5 linked regions of the Oryctolagus cuniculus genome follow. The protein of the gene in region 3 interacts with the protein of the main gene of each other region in a pairwise test. Links are inferred from orthologs where the notes say so. Each region holds a gene or a part of one and is shown on either strand. Other genes may lie near its edges.

Region 1 (3,514 bases), on a different chromosome or scaffold from region 3:
GACTCAATGTCCTTGCGACAAATGGGGCATTCTATCTTCCTCTTCATCCATTCTTTGATACAGTAGGAGCAGAAACTATGGGCACAGTTCAAGGTGACAGCCTACAGTGGGAACAGGAACACACATCACAACTTTCACACTTACTTTCTTGGCAGTTCATTCTCAAAGCTAGGACAGGAGCTATTTTCCAAGGCCAACCAAAAAGATAACTACACTTCTATGTGGATTGTAGTATCAGAATCATTCTTGGGCTGGGAAATTTTAGGTTTCATGTTAGACAATCCGTGCTGTACCTTCTCAAAGTTAAGGTTACAGACTCAGGTCCTGGATAGGCTGATTTGTCTGCTTTGTTCCCCTAAGTCAACCACACTGCCAATGTGGGTCAACCATCCTGAGAGTGACAAATGCCACTGGACACAGCAGGATGAGTAAGTGTATGAACATACAAATGTAAAACTAATTCTCTTATTAAAAACAAACTAATTCTATAATTAAAAACAAACAGCTACTGCTACTTGTGAGTTACAACCTCAATTTTAGTATACCAAGTGTAAGTGAATACTGACCACTTAATGTATAGAATGGTAGGAGGTAACATCTTTAAAGAAGCCAAAATGTGAAATACATAATGGGTTCACTGACAGTGCCTGAACTTATAGGCAAACACATCCACAAAGAGAGACCGCAGGACAAAGCCTGTGATTCAGGGCTTCTCTGAGCACTCCCTCTGGTCAGATTTTTTTTTCACTCCCAAGAGTATAAACCATTCTCTCTCTCTTTTTTAAAGATGTGTTTATTTATTTGAAAGGCAGAGGGGCAGAGAGAGGGATAGACAGAGAGAGAGAGAGGTCTTCCATTCACTGTTTATTCCTCAAATGGCCCCAACAGCCAGGTCTGGGCTAGGCCAAAGCCAGGAGCCTGAACTTCATCCTGGTCTCCCACATGGTTTCAGGGGCCCACGTATCTGGGCCATCTCCTGCTGCCTTCTCAGGCTCATTAAGTAGAAGCTGAGCCGGAAGCAGAGCAGTGGGGACCCAAACCAGCACTCCAGTATGGGACACTGGCATTGCAAGCAGCAGCATAACCTGTGGTGCTACCATGTTAGCCCCTTCCTTGTCACTCTTGTTCATACATATATATATATATATATGTTATATATATAATATAGATACACATATGTATGGATGTATGTATCTTCTAAGATACAACTTTTTCTGAAGTTTAAAAATCCTCATTTCTGCTTTTAAGATAAGCAGTGGAAAATAACATCTAAGTTATACATTTTTCAATAGCAAGCTGAACTCACAAAATCAGAAAACTAGAATATATTTTTCATTATGAAGTGTTATGAAGTTCATGAAGTAAACCCTCATAAACAAGATTAAAAATGCTAAAAATGCTTTTTTTTAATTTTTTTTTTTTTTTTTTTTTTTTTTTTTGGACAGGCAGAGTGGACAGTGAGAGAGACAGACAGAGAGAAAGGTCTTTTTTTTCCATTGGTTCACCCTCCAATGGCCGCTGCGGCCGGCACACCGCGCTGATCTGAAGCCAGGAGCCAGGTGCTTTTCCCGGTTTCCCATGTGGGTGCAGGGCCCACGGACTTGGGCCATTCTCCACTGCACTCCCGGGCCACAGCAGAGAGCTGGACTGGAAGAGGAGCAACCAGGACAGAATCCGGTACCCTGACCGGGACTAGAACCCGGGGTGCCAGTGCTGCAGGTGGAGGATTAGCCTATTGAGCCGCAGCACCAGCCAAAATGCTTTGTTAAAATGAAACATCTAAGACTGACTTTAAGCGGTTGCTAGCAGAATAGGTCAGTACTCCGTGACAAAACATAGGTCAAAGCGTTTGTCTCTTTCATGTCTATGCAAATACTCTGAGCTGGCTAACTTATCACCCATTCCAACGTCCCTTTCCTTGTCTTTCTTTACCAGAGACCATAAGCCCTGTCAAAACAACACTGAGTTTCTCCAAAGTAGGGAATCATCTAGCTAAAAACTATGCAGGAAATTATGACCAGAAGTCAAAATGAATCCAGAAAAAAAAAAAGAAAAAACAGGTTGCCCAGGAGAGAGAGGTTTTTTCAGGAGGCTAACAGACTCAGCCTCCTTAAAGACTGCTTGAGAAAAGGATGCAGTGTGTATGTGTGTTTGCCTTTGTTAATCAGTCGGAAAAGCACTGTCGTCTAACAACCTGAGTTTAACACTTGTGGTCTAAGCTGTACTGGTCACAAATGGGAGGACCTCTGAAAAATACAAGAGCTGGTGCTTGTATTTATCTTGTACAGGGGCCAGCACTGTGGTGTAGCAGATAAAGCCACAGCTTGTGATGCCGGCATCCCATATGGGTACCGGTTCAAGACCCGGCTGATCCACTTCCTATTCAGCTCCTTGTTAGTGCAGTTGGGAAAGTGCTTGAGGCCCTGCACTCATGTGGCAGATTCAAAATAAGCTCCTGACTCCTGGCTTTCGCCTGACCCAGCCCCAGCCACTGTAGCCATTTGGGGAGTGAATCAGTGGATGTAAAATCTGTTTAAAAAAAAAAAAAAGAAAGATGACAGGACAATAAATGGGAGCCTCGGGGAGAGGTATTTCATTTCACAAGGAGCCTGAAGGTCCTGAAATATATTCTACGTGGCTTTTGAATTCTGAATTCCCAAAATGACCACACATCAATGGCACTGACCATTCTGCTTTGAAAGGCTGCATGGCAGAAGCAGGTATTTAGTTTAGCAGTTAAGATGCCAGATCTCACATCTGAGTTTGATTCCTGATTCTGGCTCCCGATTCCAGTTTCCTAACACAGACCCTGGTAGGCAGCAGTGAAGGCTCAAGTAATGGAGCTCCTGCCATTATGTGGAGACCTGAACTGCAATTCTGGCTCCTGACTCTAGTCTCCTGCTAACTCATACCCTGAGAGACAGTGGTGATGAAGCAAGTGAATGGGTTCCTGCCATCCATGTTCTGAGGCCTGTCACTGTGGGTATGTGGAGAGAGAACCAATGGATGGGAGCTTTCTTCACCTGTTTCTCAAATAAATTTAATTTTAAAAACTACACTACAAGCCTACTCTTAGCTTTGTGTCCATTCAGAGTAAAGAGAGAGAAGTATTTCCGGGCTGCTTCATTCTGATACTTCGGCTATGTGATCTGGTTTCCCCCATCCTAACAACAAAGAGAGAAAGGCTTTATTGCAGCTAAAAATGTTAACCATACCAAACAAATAGTTATAAATTCCTAGAAGAAAAATCTCTTCAGAGTGTTTCTTTGGCAGAAGCAGCATGCATGGTCCAGGTTCCGTTCCGTGCTGGGAGAGTGAGAAGGGGTGCGCCACTGGTCATAATTACCTCAATGAAGTATTCTGAGCAAATAATACATTGGAGTTCATTTTCTAGCACGTCATTCATCTGACTAAGAACTTCCTCCTTCTGTGCTTGTACCTTCTCCTTCTCTTCCTGTGAAAACACACACAACCCTGTCTGTCATCTGGGAGAACCAAAAGGAGCACAAAACAG
Region 2 (4,251 bases), on a different chromosome or scaffold from region 3:
GAGAGGGAGAGGGAGTGAGCCTGGCTGGGTCCCCAGCGCCTGGTCCGCCGCAGGTGGCCGGTGGCCCAAGCCCTCCTCCACCTGCTCACCTGAGTCCTAGATGTAGATGAGAGGCACCTCCCCACACAGGGTGCTCACGGCCGCGCCCAGGAAGGCCAGCTCTCCTCCGGAGGACGCCGGGCCTGCGGCTGGCCCCTTGTCCTGGCCCCGCTGAGTGGGAGGCTCTGCAGGGTTGGCCTGGGAAGAATACCAACTTGGAGTCTGGGGACCCAGAGCCTGTCACACCTGGAGCCCTTATTGGTGGGACCTTAGGCAGGGCTGCGTGGGCTCAGCTGAGGCCATGCACTTGGAGGAGGGGGAACAGGTAGGGGAGGCAGGTGCAGGTGAGGATGGAGAGGTGGGCACTCACTTGGGCATGCCTTACAGGTGACAAGTACCTTCATCATCTCAAGTGTGGCCTGGGAGGCAGACAGCCCCCACCCCTCACCCACACACCCACCTGGAATTTTCTAGCCAGAGCCTCCAGACTGGGGATGCTGTCTGGAGCCATCTTCATGAGGTAGCAGCAGGTTCCCGGGGCTGGCTTATAGGCGATCAGGAGCTGGGTGTGACATGCTACAGGTCAGTCGAGAGGCCCCCTGCCTCGCTCACTGCCTACCCCTGCGCTCACCCAGCCCCTGGGTTGGACACAGGAGTCCTGTTGGAATCTGGGTTTCAGGCCTTCCCTCTACCCCCCACCCAGGGAGAGGGGGGAGAGGCGGATGTGATGAAGCGGCACAGCCTGTGGCCCTAGGGGTGCAGGCAGCCTACCCGCTGGTAGTCGCAGGTGACAATGCCGGTGGAGCCGATGGGGAAAGTGGCCGTGGTGCCCGCCCACTCGCTCAGTGCCAGGCGCTGCTGGACCTCCGGCGCCCCGATGCTCATCTCTAGGACCTGGGGGAGATGTTCCTGGCACTCCTGTCCCCCACTCCAGTGCCCATGGCCCCCTCCCCTCTCTTTACCCAGATGCAGTTTCTTTCTCTGCAGAGAGAGCTCAGGGGCCCGAGTGGAAGCCCAGGCCAGGTTGGCCCGCCCCCATCTCCGCCCCTCTCCCTCCACACTGCACCCTGGCATTCCCCTGGCCCAGCCCACCCAGCTCCGGGGCGGCTTGCCCCCACCCTCACCCACCCGCTGCTCACCCCAGCCCCGCGCCTGCTCACCATCTCGGTGTGTTTCTGGCTCATGTGGAGCCCCATGAGCAGGGCCCCCACAATCACCACGACCACGAGGACCACCACGACGACCACGATGAGAAGACGTTTGAGGTGCACTGGGCAGCAGGGGATGCCGAAGCGGCCCCGGGGAGCTGCTGAGTAGTCCTGCCGGCAGGGGGCAGCAGTGAGACCCGTGCCAGCTGGACACCTCGGCCACACGCACACTCAGAAGGTTGGACCACCAAAGCCACACAGACGCACACACACACACTCAGAGGGATAGACAGCCAAAGCCACACACACGTGCTCACACAGACACACTCAGAGCCAACACCACACGTGCACACACCCACTCACACACATGCACCCAGAGGGATGGACAGCCAAAGCCACACACACGTGCTCACACAGACACACTCAGAGCCAACACCACACGTGCACACACCCACTCACACACATGCACCCAGAGGGATGGACAGCCAACGCCACACACACGTGCTCACACAGACACACTCAGAGCCAACACCACACGTGCACACACCCACTCACACACATGCACCCAGAGGGATGGACAGCCAACGCCAATGCCACCCATGTGCAGGGGAGGGCTGTGACGACCAGAGGAGGCTCCCTGGAAGAAGTGACCTGGATTCTAGCAAACCCAAGGCCTCGTGTGCAGGGACCCAGGGTGGCCTGTTTGGCCAGGGCTCGTCTCCTGCTATTTCTCCGAATTCCCTGGCACCCAGCCATAGCCAGACCCTGTGTTCCACAGATGGCCCAGGCTCGCCTACACTGCCGTGCCTTCATCCACACTCCCCCACCTTCCTGCAAAGCCCTCCTGCTCTACCTGGACAGCTCCTCTGTATTTTCTGGCTCTACCTGCCTTCTCTCTGGAAGCTTCGTGCAACCCCCTGAGTACTCAGTGGCTCCTCCCTCCACTACCCTCTCCATTTTTTTAATAAAAGAGACCTTAGATTTGTGTTTAATGCTTTATTTATTTGTTTGAAAGGCAGAATTTCAGATTGATAGATAGATAGAGATCTCCCATCCATTGGTTCATTCCCCAGTGGCCCTGGGCTGATCCAGGCCAAAGCCAGAAGCCTGGAACTCCATCCAGATCTCTCACATGGGTGGCAGGGACACAAGTACTCGGGCCATCCTCCACTGCTCTCCCAGGCACATTAGCAGGGAGCTGGATCAGAAGCGGAACAGCCGAGACTTGAACCTGCGCCCATATGGGATGGTGGTGTTGCAGGTGATGCCTCAGCCTGCTGTGCCACGACGCTGGCCTCCCGGCCCACTCCACTGACCAGTCCCTGTGATGGCCGTCACCTCCTTATACTGGAATTATTGTCTCCCCCAGGGACTCTGTCTCAGTGGCCTTAAGAGTCCCCATCTTAACTAGGAGGGTGGAGGAGGCAGGGTCCCACACACACCTGCACACACGCGCGCTCCCATGCACTCACCGGTGGGCTCTCCATCAAGGCCTCTTTGCTGCCCATGTCCATCTTGCCACAGGTGCCCGCCTCTCCTCGCCTCCTGGGTATGACCAGGGCTTTATATGTGCTCGTGCGGAGAGAGGGCAGAGGTGAAGGACCGGGCCCCCTGTCTGCCAGCCAAGTCCTTGACTTTGAAGCCTGTTTGTTCCTGGCCCTCCAGAGCCAAGGCCCTGATAAGCCAGCTACAAGTGCCCCCAAGGGCCCTTGGCCCTGGCACGTGAGCTCCCTCTTCCCGCACGGCAGCGAGCCTGGGTGTGCCGAGCAAACTTGCCCCTCGGCCATCGGCAGCGCTCACCATGGGTGTCTCCTGGCCGGCCTGCCTGTCTTGCTGGCACCTGCCCTCGCAACCCTTGTTCTGCTGCCAGGCGGAACCACTCAGGCGGCCAAGGGTCTGACCGCCCGCCACACCTGCCAGCAGAATTTCTAGGGGTGAGTTCGGGGTAGGGGGCGGAGGAGCCAACATCAGCAGACCCTGAAAGGATTTAGGGTGGGGGCGCAGGAGGGCTCCTGGGTGTGCACTTCTCTGGGAGGGCCGGATTCCCGCTCTATGCATTCCGCCTCACACGTGGCCTGCCTGACCTCAGGCTAGCCCCCAGTCATTCTTTTCTGTTTGGAAACTCTGTGCCCGCCAGTGGAAAACTCTTACTCATGTGCACTGCTCCACTCTTTGCTAGATGGCAGACGCGGCTCCCTCAGCCCCGACGGCCTTGCACAGGGCTGGGTGTGGTTACTGGCCGCCTCCCAGTCTCCCTGTTCTTAGCTGTGCCTGCTTGCTCCACACTGCCGATCATCGCCAACATCCGGCTGCACTCTGCATTTCATATTCTCTGGTACCAAGGGCATTCCAGAGGGCTACTCACCCCACTCTGTCCCCTTTCTGACCTCGTCACCACCACCCCAAACCCAGCCGCCATTCTCCCTCTCCTACGTCCTTCCCCAAAGCCGTGGCCGTGGCTCACTCTCAGATCGGCCGCTGGCTTCGCGGGGGATGGTACCTTTCCGCCTGGGCTCCCCTTCCCTCTGGGAGCCAAGTGAGCTGGGAAGCCCCTTCACCTTGGAGCTGCCATGAGGGTGTCAACTCAGAGCCCAGCACCTCCCTCTCCCGGCCTCCTCTCCTTGAGCGTATCACTCCTAGCCCTGTCCCCTGCCTCACTCACACCACGACCCTGCCTTCAGGCCACCAGCTGGACCCTCCCCACTCTCCAGCCCTGGCACAAGGACCCTCTCTCCTCTCCAGGTTGCACAACAGCACGACCTCTGCTCTGAGGGCCCCTGAGCAGCCCCAGGAGGAGAGAGGAAAGGAAGTGTTTGCTCTCACCGCCTTCCTCACTCCCAAACGCCCCTTTAAATATTTGCCAAAGCCTCCGGCAGCCACAGAGGATCCCCCGATGGGTGAGAGGACAGAGGAGGAGGAGGGGGCACAGGGAGCAGGAAGAGACCAACATCCTCCTCTCGGCTCAGCCTCAGCCGAGTGCAGGTGTCAGATGTAGGAGCCGGCCCAATGGCCGTGCCCACCCCTGCCTGCTCCCCAGAGCCCCCTCCGCCCGGTTGTCCTGGCA
Region 3 (3,481 bases):
TGGGTGCAGGGGCCCAAGGACTTGGGCCATCTTCCAGTTTTTCCAGGCCACAGCAGGGAGCTGGGTCGGAGGTGGAGCAGCCAGGACACAAACCCGTGCTCATAGAGATACTGACACTGTAGGCGGCGGCTTAACCCACTAAGCGCTGACCCCCTCTTGTTACTTTCAGTAAAGGATTCCAGACAGCTTTAACTTCTCAAATATTCTCATTGAGCTACAAGTAGTCTTCTTGTGGCTTCTGGTTATAGTTGCATGGTCAGCTGGTCCTCTTGACCAACATGTGGCCTTAATGTTTCTCTCCCCGTAGATCTCCCAAGAGAAATATGTTCCTCCCGTGTAATCCAACCTCCCCTTCCTGACTCTTGGGGGATACTGGGCTCAGACAAAAGTGGCCTCAAGCAGTGAGAATTGTCAGAGAGTTAAGGAAGACTCGGTGACTGGTGGGTCCACATTTCCCATTTTAGAAAGCGGAAATCAGGAGAGGCTGGGGGAGAAGAGTTGCTCAGGGCTGGAAAGCAGAGCCCTTGCCTCTGCCACTCAGGGCTGTCTGCTCCATGCAAATTCCTTGATTATCTGCTGTCTGTCTTCATCTCTAAGTTGGAGTTGTGAGGATTAAAGGATCTCACGCACGGAGCGCTTACTGATGCATTTAGTGAGACTCGGCTCAGCCTGTCCTCTCCGATGTCCAGCTGCCTCCTGCAGCAGAGTGCCGTCACTCACTCTCCCCGCGCCCAGCCTCTTCCACAGGTGAACCAAGCACAGGCAGCTCAATTTTGTAGCAACTGGCCCTTCACATACCCGGAGGAAGTTGCTCTCCCTCCCCTCGTTGGGCGATGTGTGCTTTGAGTGGATCTTCCAAGAGGGCGGATTTGCTTGTGGCTGCTCCATCCCTCTGAGCTTAAAGCTTTCTTCTTTTATTAAAAAATATTGATTGAGATTGATTAGCAAGTCAGAGTTAGAGAGAGAGAGAGAAGGGGAGACAGAGACAGCGAGATCTTCTATCCTCTGGTTTACTCCCTAGATGACCACAAAGGCCAGTACTCAGGCTGAAGCCAGCAGCCAGGAGCTTCATCTGGGTCTCTCCCATGGGTGCAGGGGCCCAAGCACTTGGGCCATCTTCCAGTGCTTTCCTAGGCTATTAGCAGGGAGCTGGATTGGAAGTGGAGCAGCCAGGATTCGAACTGGCGCCCGTATGGGATGCTGGCGTTGCAGCTGGCAGCTTTACCTGCTACACCACAATGCCGGCCCCTGAAACCCTCTTGAAGCTGGTTTCCTTACTCTCTGCTTTTCTTCCATTCTTCTAAAAAGGCCTGAGAGGGGGTGATAACAGGCTTGGGTTCAAATCATGGCTTTGCTATGTCCCAGATGTGTGAGTTTGGGCCAGTCTTACTTAACCCCTTTGGAATCTTAGTTTCTTCACCTGCAAAAGGGTAATTAGCTACCATGGAACCACACTACAGCTGTAAAAGAATGAGGAAACTGTTTATATATGGATATAAAATGATCTCCAAGATACAAGTATATTAAATGAGGGAAAATCAACATGCAAAACAGTCTATATAATATGCTACTGATTCAAAAAAGGAAAAAAAAAACAAATATTTTGTTCATATATGCAAAAAAAATCATTCCATGCACAAGAAACCTAATATCGCTTGCCTAGGGTGGAGAGGGGGTAGAATAGGGCAGAGATCACTACAGGGAGGAAGGTACTAACTGTACTTATTGACCTTTGAACCATGTATATGGTCCACTCAAAAATCTTAAAAATTATTTATTTGAGAGGCAGGGAGGGAGACAGAGTGAGCCCTGAGGACTTCCATTCACTGGTTCACTCTCCGAATGTTCCACAGTGGCTGGGGCGGGGACAAAGCAAAGCGAGGAGCCAGAAACCCAAGCGAGGTCTCCCGTGTGGATGGCAGGGATCCAAGTACTTGAGCCATCACCCCCTGCCTTCTCGGGTGCGTGTTAGCAGGAAGCTGGCATAGGGCACAAAAGTGGGACTTGAACCCAGGCATTGTGATAGGTGATGACGGCGTCTTTTTTTTTTTTTAAGACCTACTTATTTATTTATTTGAAAGGCAATGTTACAGAGAGGCAGAGGCAGAAAGAGAGAGGGGAGAAAGTCTTCCATCCTCTGGTTCACTCCCCAAACAGCCCCAACGGCCAGAGCTGCGCTGATCCGAAGCCAGGAGCTTCTTCCGAGTTTCCCACCAGAGTGCAGGGGCCCAAGGACTTGGGCCATCCTCTACTGCCTTCCCAGGCTATAGCAGAGCTGGAACGGAAGCCGAGCAGCCAGGACTCGAACCGGCATCCCATATGGGCACCGGCACTGCAAGTGGCTGCTTTACCCGCTACACCACAGCGCTGACCCCTGTCTTAACTGCTAGGCTAAACGCCCACTAGCACACACAAAAAACTTTTAATTGAAACTTAAAAGCAAATAATTAAAAGAGGGAGGGGAATAATACAGGCATCTCAGTGGGGTGTGGAGAAGTCAAAATTAGCTGGTGCACCTTGCCTAACTGGCACTTGGTACCCGCATAAAGCGCACCGGCCGGTGAGCCGCCGCTCTTCCTAGCCCGGGCCTTTCTCGCCGCCGCAGGCTGATCTACTGGCTGACCTTCGCCGTGGGCCGCTCCTTCCGCGGCTTCGGCTACGGCCTCACCTTCCTGCCGCTGCTGTCCATGCTGGTGTGGAACCTTTACTACATGTTCGTGGTGGAGCCCGAGCGCATGCTCACCGCTGCCGAGAGCCGCCTGGACTACCCGGACCACGCTCGCTCAGCCTCGGACCACAGGCCCCGCCCCTGGGGCTGAGCCGCCCGGCCCGGCCCGGCCCGGCCCTGCCCTGCCCTGCCCTGCCCGGGGCGCGGCGAGCCCGGACTTTGCGCCTACGTGAGGGAGGGAGCCAGTCTTTTCCTCGGCACAGGCCTGTCCTGTTAGGATGCTGAGGGCCTGGCCGGGACGAGCAGGAGAGGCCCAGCCTCCCTCCGCGGCTCCCGGACTCTGCTCCCCCTCGCAGGCACTCCCTGTGCCGCCGCCGCTCTCAGCCAAAGGCCTCCAGGAGGCTGGAGATACTCAGCCATGCCCAAAGACAGAGGCTGAGTTTCAGATCAAGCCAGGACTTCCGGTTTGAGGATGACCTCCCCGGGGGCCTGGGTTCAGGTCCGTTCAAGACGAGCCTGTTGGACTGTTCCGCCCCAGTTCAAAGCTGCTGCCTTCTTTCTCTCCCTTCCAACCTCAGCGGCCCCTGGAACTTCCCACCCCGAAAACTGCCCAGAAGTCCCTCCACGCCCATGGGAAGAGAGGAGGGCCAGGGAAATCTGCCACCCAAGAGGAGCAGGTGTGTGTGTGTGTATCTGAACGCGTGTGCACATGGTGGCGTGGGAATGCTTGGAAGGCACAGTGGCTGATGTTAACCCCCGTGAGTGTGTATATGTATAACAATAAATTGCTACTAGGTCTACAATGACTGTGTC
Region 4 (4,148 bases), on a different chromosome or scaffold from region 3:
AAGGATCACCATACAAGGCACCAAAACAGAAAAATGTTCCGGTCCAGTGTTGTTCCTGCTTTGACTTCCCATATAGGCATGGGAGATCATAATATTTCTAGTTTCAGGCTGCTTTAAGTCTTCATCCAACCTTGGTGAAAAGCAGTTTCAACAGCTGCGTGGCTTCTGACAAGCCCTGCACAGGGCACAGAGCCTACTAGGGTCAATCAAAAGTCCCTCACACAACAGATACTCAGTCCAGAGAGCAAGTGTTAACCTCATGGGTACTCCTATTTCAAAAAGGGATTGCGCCAGCTATTTTTAGTCCAGTCCAGGATGTGCCTAGATTGTAAACACTTCAAAGAGCAGGGATGGTATCCTCTTAGGGTGTACAGATTGTACATGCAGGGAATCATACTTTGAGAATGCATGCACTACAGTCAATCTATTACTTTAGTGATGAGATATAACTGGCATTTTGCTATGTGGTCTAAATGAAAGACTTGGATATGTTAGGTACTTTAGATTCTTAGATATCTATACTTTAGATATTTACAACAAAAGTCTACTGTGGAGTGAAAAGTTTTAAAGAAGAAAGGTGTTTGTTAAGGGTGGGAGCTCCAGGAACTGAAAGGGTTGCTAGCAAGTTATTAGCTTATGATAAATTATTAATTATAACTACTATATTTATTACTTATGAATGGCCAAATTATTAATTGCATAAATAACATATGAATAGTCATTGTTCATATTGCATACTTGTTGGTAGAGCAGATTAAGTCAGATGATAGCAACCTCTAGGTTATTGAATCTTGGTTCAAAATATGGTGAATGAGACTGGTTAATGTTTCATTTCCCTCTTAATTCTTATCCATCGTTTGGCCCTCAGCATGAAGGAAGTACTACATTGCTAATGAAAATCTTTACAGACATTTGCTTGGAGGAGAAAATGAACAGAAGAAAATTAACGCATAAAGGAGGAGAGCAAGTGCAAGAAGGCAACAGGAGGGCAGTGAGTCCAGTCAAGGAGCAAAGGCAAAGGAATGAGAAACAAAGACAGACTCTCCCTTAGGATTTTCTAAATGAAATCAAACCCTGGTCCAAATACCCACTTTCTTGGGTAACTTCTCCAGATATACAGTAAATATCCTGTATTTAATGATCAAAACAACCCAATTCAGGGGGAGGAAAATAATTGCTCCACCAAATCTGCTGTTTAAATTAAGCTCTTAAGTAAAGGGAGTCTTGGATGATGGCCTAACAGGAAATAAGAAAAATGCTTTTGTTATCTTCACAAAAACTCACATAAGTATTATTGTGATTTTTATCTCCCCCAAGATTACAGCTGGAAAAAAATAACTTTTAGAGAATGGTTAAGTTGTTTGTGTGGTGGCACATTAAAGGCAGCAAATTAGAGGCAGGCCTAGGAATGGCTGACTGGAACTAGTTACTAGGATTGTGGTCACTCCAAAGGAGTGATTACAAGAAAGAGTTATCACTGGCGAAGAACTAGTCTGAATAAACAAAATTAGTGTGAATTTTCAACCACTTTGGGAAACTATTTGACATTTTTGAAGCTTAAAAATGCTCATCTCCTAGTATCTAACAATTTTACTTCCACCCCAGATGCTTAAGTGCATACGCACCAGGACACATATACAAGGGTATTCACAGAAACATTTTCACAATAATCCCAAATTGGAAATAATAGTAGAACTTGGCATATTGATACATTTTAATACTAGAGTAGAAAGAAAATACATGGATTTCAGTTATAGCTACACAAAACAAAAATGTGTGGATCTCAGAAATATAATTGTTGGGTGTAAGATAGTTTGCAAGAGAACAAAATGACTCCATCTATTTAACATAAAAAACATGGAACTTTATCGCAATATTAAGGTTAGTAAAATTTTAAATAAAAACCAGGACAAGATGATCTCAACATCTTGGGACAGCAGGGGAGGTAATCAGGCACAGATTTCTGGGATGCTAACAAGGAACTGCTTCCTGCCCTGGGTGACAGCTATACAATTGATACCCTAAAATTATGTCTTAAACTGTGTATGTTTTATGTGTTCTTCATATTGCTTTATAGTCATCTCTGAATTGACAGGCTATCTATTATTATTCTTTCTTTCCTCTGCTTTACCTCCTACTATTTTTTGCACTTTGATGGTGAACTTAAGTATTTATTATTTCGTGTATTCTTTAAATGACTAGAACACAGTTAAGATGACAATTTCTAAAGAATCCATTTCTTTCAATATGTGTGCTCACAATTAACTGTAGACTTTACTCACACACACATTTATGCCTTTTAGGAATATCCAAATTTAGGCAAAAATCCAGATCAATCAAGTTCTATTGGCTTCAACTTAAACCTTTCCTGAAGTCAAGTTCATGCCATATGATCCAAAGAGATTGCCATATGGATGAACTGAAAACCAAAAATCTATGAATAAATTGGACAGGAAGTTTGACTTTGGAATCAATGGAGTCTTTGAGAAAATTAAAGACTTTCTTCTGTGCTATAAAGAAAGTTTTGTAACTATCGGAAGGGGAAACATGCATGAAGAAAATAGGAATGACTTTACATCTTAAGGTAGGTATTGCCTATTTTATTAAGATATGTAAACATTCTGCCTTTCTCATTTAAAACTTGCACACACACACACACACACACACACACACATGCACCCTATGCTAAGCCTAAAAACCTTGCTGTTACCTGAAGAAGGTCAAGGACACACGTTGGCTGCTGTAGGTTTCTCCTTACTTTCTCCAACTCTGGCTCCAACTCCGGCTCATCTCCCAGGCTGTGTGGACTCCTGGGCTCTGGGCAGGGCCTAAAGTAGTCCAAGGGAGGTGACACTGTGATGTCACTGATGAAACAGCTGAAAGGAATAACCCTGAAGGTTTGAGGCTATTTGTGTTCAGGGGGACTTGGAAATATGTTGACTAAGACTGTTTCTTCGGTTGCCAATTTATTTAAACATCAAAGGGCACTAAAACTTCTATTTCCAGTTCCCTTTTGGTGCACTTGATGTGGATTTTAAATTGATCCTTTGCATTTTCATGAATACATCTAACTTATCTTTAAAAACATCACAAACCATTAGTGATAAAATAATTTTTTTTTTGACAGGCAGAGTGGACAGTGAGAGAGAGAGAGACAGAGAGAAAGGTCTTCCTTTGCCATTGGTTCACCCTCCAATGGCCGCCACGGCCGGCGCACCGCGCTGATCCGATGGCAGGAGCCAGGTACTTATCCTGGTCTCCCATGGGGTGCAGGGCCCAAGGACTTGGGCCATCCTTCACTGCACTCCCGGGCCACAGCAGAGAGCTGGACTGGAAGAGGGGCAACCGGGCCAGAATCCGGCGTCCCGACCGGGACTAGAACCCGGTGTGCCGGCGCCGCAAGGCAGAGGATTAGCCTAATGAGCTGCGGCGCCAGCCAGATAAAATAATTTTTAAAAATCAGTGCAGCATCTGGCCACTCCCACTACTGAGCAGGCCTAGGTGTAAAGATGTGACTTTGTGTTACCACCTATATCTTTAGCTGTTTGCAATATAAAGAGTTCTCTCTCTCTCTCTCCAACACACACACACACACACACACACACACACACACACACCACGATCCAGAATTCAAAAGACATCTTGAGCTGCTTCAAAATTGACTTTAGTCCAAACAGTGAAAGTTATCTCTTCCATCACCTGCTCCCCATAACTTTCCAGCTAAACAGTGCATTGCAAGTTTACACCTTAATCTACAGTTTCATCTGAAACAGCTGAGAGAGGCGTGGTTTGTCTATCTCTGTCAGTAAACTAATATAGCAGTAAATTCAAATGGCAAGACATAGTCATTTCGATAGATTGGGGCTAGAAATAGAACTGGTCAAAATTTTTGAAAAACCTGAGTTATTGAATAAATGTGGAAGATGTCAAATTATATAACTTTCTTTATGAATACAGGCTAAATGAGTTTGCAACCAACAAATCAGATGTTTGAAGATAAATAGAGCCTCTGAAGGGTTTAATTGGACTTCAAAATAAGTCAGTTAAGCACCTTAAATCTGACCCCAGCAGTTGTGTTTGCTCAGCAAATCCCTTCTTTATAATAGAGCAATCCCCCTCTGAATTCCCAGTCAGGGTTAATCAAAGTC
Region 5 (3,250 bases), on a different chromosome or scaffold from region 3:
CTGTGGATGATCAACTCGGGCTCACAGCCTCAAACGTTGATCCTTTCTTCCAGTCTCATTTCGGCTAGCAAAGGTATTGTAGGGGAAGACAACAATACACCGCGTGTGTCGGTAACGGAGAGCGTCAACCCCGCCTCGCCTTTCACACGCTCCTGGAGCAGCACCCGACCGACGCCGTGCCGCGGGCCGCGGGCGCTGGCCGGGGCGAGGCGCCCTCCCCCACGGGCCGGCCCCGCCACCCCTGCCTTTCATTAGCGGCGTAACCCCGTGTTCCCGATGGAGCCGGCCAGGAACCCGCGGGGGGCCCTCTCATCGTCACGCCTACCTGGGGGACCGCTGCGCCCGGGGCTCAGGGCTCTCTCCATGTCGCCCCACCCTCGCCTCCTCCGGACCCCCGAGAGGCGAACCGCATCTCTCCAAGGCGAAATTCCCCTGGCCGCGGAGCAGACTCTACAGCTGCCCGCCCCCCTCTGCCAGGGAGCGCAGAATGACCACGAAGGAGGCCAGGAACAAAACACTTACAGGTCGCATTTATTAAGGAAATGTTTAAGAAAGAAAGTCGAAACGGTGTCACGGATGTCAAGAGCACTTTTGTGGCGTAAACCGTGCAGTCACGAGCTACGAGGAGTTCTATTCCGAGTCTTTGTCCCGGGGCCGGCGGCGGCGGCGGCGCCAGCCCTCCAGAAAGACCCAGCTGGGAAAGCGTGGAAAGGAACAACTCACCCGGTCCACAGTCGCAGGCTCCCTCCCCGCCCCCCTTCTCCCGCGAGGACAAAACTCTACCCCCACCCCCACCCCCGGCAGGCAAACGGGCCACTAGGGCAGAAGAGAACGCATCGAATAGTCGTATGCAAGCACACAAACACAAAATCCCTTGAAGACGGCACGTTACAGTCAAAGGTGTTCGTGGCGCGCCTCTCCCCACGCGCGGGGGGCTAAGGGGCAGCGGGACGCAGTGGACGCCAGTCCCGGCCAGGATGTGTGAGTCCCCATCGGGTCTGTAGTGTGGCCACTTTCCCTGTCAACAGGCGATCTTCGCCCTGGGACGCCCCCCCCCCCCTCAGCCCGCCCCCTCCGCCCGCCACCTCCAAGCGCTTGGCCCACCTGCGGGTGGAAAGCGGCCTTCGCCCCGCCGGTCTCCCCGCTTTCCACGCGAGAGTCAGCTTCCAAAGTTCTGTGCCCCCATCGCCCTGTTCTTGCCACCTGCTGCAGAGTGCAAAAGTCAGGGCGCTCGCCTATAGCCAGCTGCGAGGCCTCGCAGAGGGTGAGCGAGAGAAAAGGGTCGCTTCATCCTCAAAGGCAGAAGTCAAATACTTGACTCCGACAGGTTTGCATCGCCCAGGCGCTGAGGCCGGGGGTCGCGGCGGCGGCGAGGGGGCGGCGGCCGCGGGGCCGCAGGGCCGGTCAGTAGGGCCCCACGACCACCGCCTCCACTTCTTTCGACGGTCTCCGGTCCTTCACCAGGAAGTTGATCATGCCCTCGGACTTGATGAGCAGGTTGCAGCCGAGGAAGAAGATGCCGAAGACCACGGTGAGCGAGAGCACGCACATGACCGCGATCTGCACCACGCGCATGATGTACAGGCTGCGTTCGTCCGGGCCGCCCTCGGCGAAGCCGTCGTCGGTCACCACGGACGCCTGGGTGCAGCAGCGCACCGCGCGCTCCAGTGCCTCGCTGCTGTTGGCCAGGAACAGGCCCGCCAAGTCGGTCTGGTTGCCCAGCGCCGGATTCATGGCGGGAGAAGGCGGGCGCCCCGGGAGACGCGGGGTCCGATATGCGGGAGGAACAGGTGCCGGGCTGAGCGCTCGCTAGCTGACTTGGGCGCGCGGGGCTTGTGGCGCTCTCCTTGCCAAAGTCGTCGGTCGGGCCGTGCGAGTCTCCCGGGAGCCTCTCCGACGCGCACCGCAGCCCGGATCGTCTGCGCTGTTCGCTCCGGTCCGGGCGGTGCTCGCTCGCGGCGCTCGCTCGACTGGGGGCTGTTAGAACTTGGCGGGGCTGGGCCAGTGGCGCCGTGGGAGGTGCGGGACGCGGCGGCGGCGGCGGCGGCGGCTACAGGGAGCTGCTCTGAGCGAACAGCGGCCCCCTGCGGCCGCGCCGTCGCTCTGCGCCCGCCGCCGCTGGGCGGTGGGGGAAAGCTTTTCTGGCTTGGTCTCTTTGGCAACTCCAGAGGCCAGGCAGAGGTCCCAGGACTCTTCTGATTTGCTGGACCACTGAGGAGTTTGCGGGTTAAAGGTGCGAGCAGTTGAAAGTTTCAGAGGCGCTGGAACGCTGGAGCTGTGTGTGCCGGTTGCCTGGCGCCCCTCTCACCTCTGGGCGTGTGCAAAGTGGCAAGGAAGTGCAGGTGCCAGATGGCGCTGGCCAGGGCACCAGCCTCCCTGCCGCCTGAGCCTTGCTCCGCCCCTCCGCGACCGACCCGGGTGCCCTGGGGGTGGTCTGGGAGGACCACCGTTGAAAAAGGAGCGCATTTAGAAAGAAAAGGAAGAGGGAAGATGGAAGAGAAGGAGGGAGTTGGGAGAGACAGGGAGGAAGGAAAGAAGGAACTGTAGCCCCACAACCCTTTACAAAGGCGAGGCGGCGGCAGGTTTTATAGCGGTGTTTGAAGCCGAAGAAAGAGGCTTGGAGGAGGGAGGTGTCCCTCTGTGACCCTTGTGGGGGTGGTTACCGGGAGCAGGGTCACCTCTCTGGGAAGGGAGTGGACAGAGTGACCACTTGCTTGCAATTTTAATTGCAGATGAGTTTCTGGATGTGCTTCCAGCGCTTGTGTCTGTTGGCAGTAAATCAGTTGTTTAAGGGAATTGCTCATCAACAACCATCACCTAGCATGCTGGCCAACGGCAGAAAGCCCTCCCCGCTTTCCATAAGCGGATGTATTTCACCCTTTGTCATTTTAAACCAGATGGGGTTTTTTCTTGGTGGGGGGGAATTGAACCTTCAGCCCATTCAGGTTTTGCTGTTGGTTTGGGTGAAATTTTATAAACCTGTCAGATTGAGTAATGTTAAGTTCCAAAACAATGCTTCAAACTCCCTCCCTCTCCCTCCTTTTCTTTCTCCTCCTCCGTTCTTTCAGCTTTAGGAACTGGAAACCAGTAAGTTGAAGCCTGTTGCAATCTTTTGATAGAATGCATTTACTAAGTGTCTGGTAGCTGTTTAGCTATTTTCAACTCAACTCTTAATTCCACTCTGCTTATTAAATCCTCTTATGTTTATCCTCCCAAAGTGGTTTTCCCACGTTCAGAGGTTTCCTTAAAT

The links.
Region 1: the proteins of TMEM79 (region 3) and RNF8 interact in binary tests that used the Homo sapiens proteins (3 or more experiments, as listed by UniProt). The two-hybrid records come from large-scale screens. The link is inferred for Oryctolagus cuniculus from reciprocal best matches to the Homo sapiens genes TMEM79 and RNF8.
Region 2: the proteins of TMEM79 (region 3) and SFTPC interact in binary tests that used the Homo sapiens proteins (3 or more experiments, as listed by UniProt). The two-hybrid records come from large-scale screens. The link is inferred for Oryctolagus cuniculus from reciprocal best matches to the Homo sapiens genes TMEM79 and SFTPC.
Region 4: the proteins of TMEM79 (region 3) and SLN interact in binary tests that used the Homo sapiens proteins (3 or more experiments, as listed by UniProt). The two-hybrid records come from large-scale screens. The link is inferred for Oryctolagus cuniculus from reciprocal best matches to the Homo sapiens genes TMEM79 and SLN.
Region 5: the proteins of TMEM79 (region 3) and RPRM interact in binary tests that used the Homo sapiens proteins (3 or more experiments, as listed by UniProt). The two-hybrid records come from large-scale screens. The link is inferred for Oryctolagus cuniculus from reciprocal best matches to the Homo sapiens genes TMEM79 and RPRM.

The regions. Positions count from the first base shown.
Region 1 is NC_091436.1:132,255,188-132,258,701, forward strand, and holds part of RNF8 (E3 ubiquitin-protein ligase RNF8), read right to left. Parts: intron 3,455-3,514; coding exon 3,347-3,454; intron 102-3,346; coding exon 1-101. UniProt on the Homo sapiens protein: E3 ubiquitin-protein ligase that plays a key role in DNA damage signaling via 2 distinct roles: by mediating the 'Lys-63'-linked ubiquitination of histones H2A and H2AX and promoting the recruitment of DNA repair proteins at double-strand breaks (DSBs) sites, and by catalyzing 'Lys-48'-linked ubiquitination to remove target proteins from DNA damage sites.
Region 2 is NC_091439.1:1,147,286-1,151,536, forward strand, and holds the start of SFTPC (surfactant protein C), read right to left. Parts: upstream 2,812-4,251; 5' UTR 2,702-2,811; coding exon 2,660-2,701; intron 1,359-2,659; coding exon 1,200-1,358; intron 934-1,199; coding exon 811-933; intron 602-810; coding exon 500-601; intron 238-499; coding exon 97-237; 3' UTR 90-96; intron 1-89. UniProt on the Homo sapiens protein: Pulmonary surfactant associated proteins promote alveolar stability by lowering the surface tension at the air-liquid interface in the peripheral air spaces.
Region 3 is NC_091438.1:42,422,885-42,426,365, reverse strand, and holds the end of TMEM79 (transmembrane protein 79), read left to right. Parts: intron 1-2,605; coding exon 2,606-2,819; 3' UTR 2,820-2,967; downstream 2,968-3,481.
Region 4 is NC_091432.1:99,520,910-99,525,057, forward strand, and holds the start of SLN (sarcolipin), read right to left. Parts: upstream 2,805-4,148; 5' UTR 2,711-2,804; intron 1-2,710. UniProt on the Homo sapiens protein: Reversibly inhibits the activity of ATP2A1/SERCA1 and ATP2A2/SERCA2 in sarcoplasmic reticulum by decreasing the apparent affinity of the ATPase for Ca(2+). Also inhibits the activity of ATP2A3/SERCA3.
Region 5 is NC_091434.1:88,453,708-88,456,957, reverse strand, and holds RPRM (protein reprimo), read right to left. Parts: upstream 1,876-3,250; 5' UTR 1,735-1,875; coding exon 1,405-1,734; 3' UTR 509-1,404; downstream 1-508. UniProt on the Homo sapiens protein: May be involved in the regulation of p53-dependent G2 arrest of the cell cycle. Seems to induce cell cycle arrest by inhibiting CDK1 activity and nuclear translocation of the CDC2 cyclin B1 complex.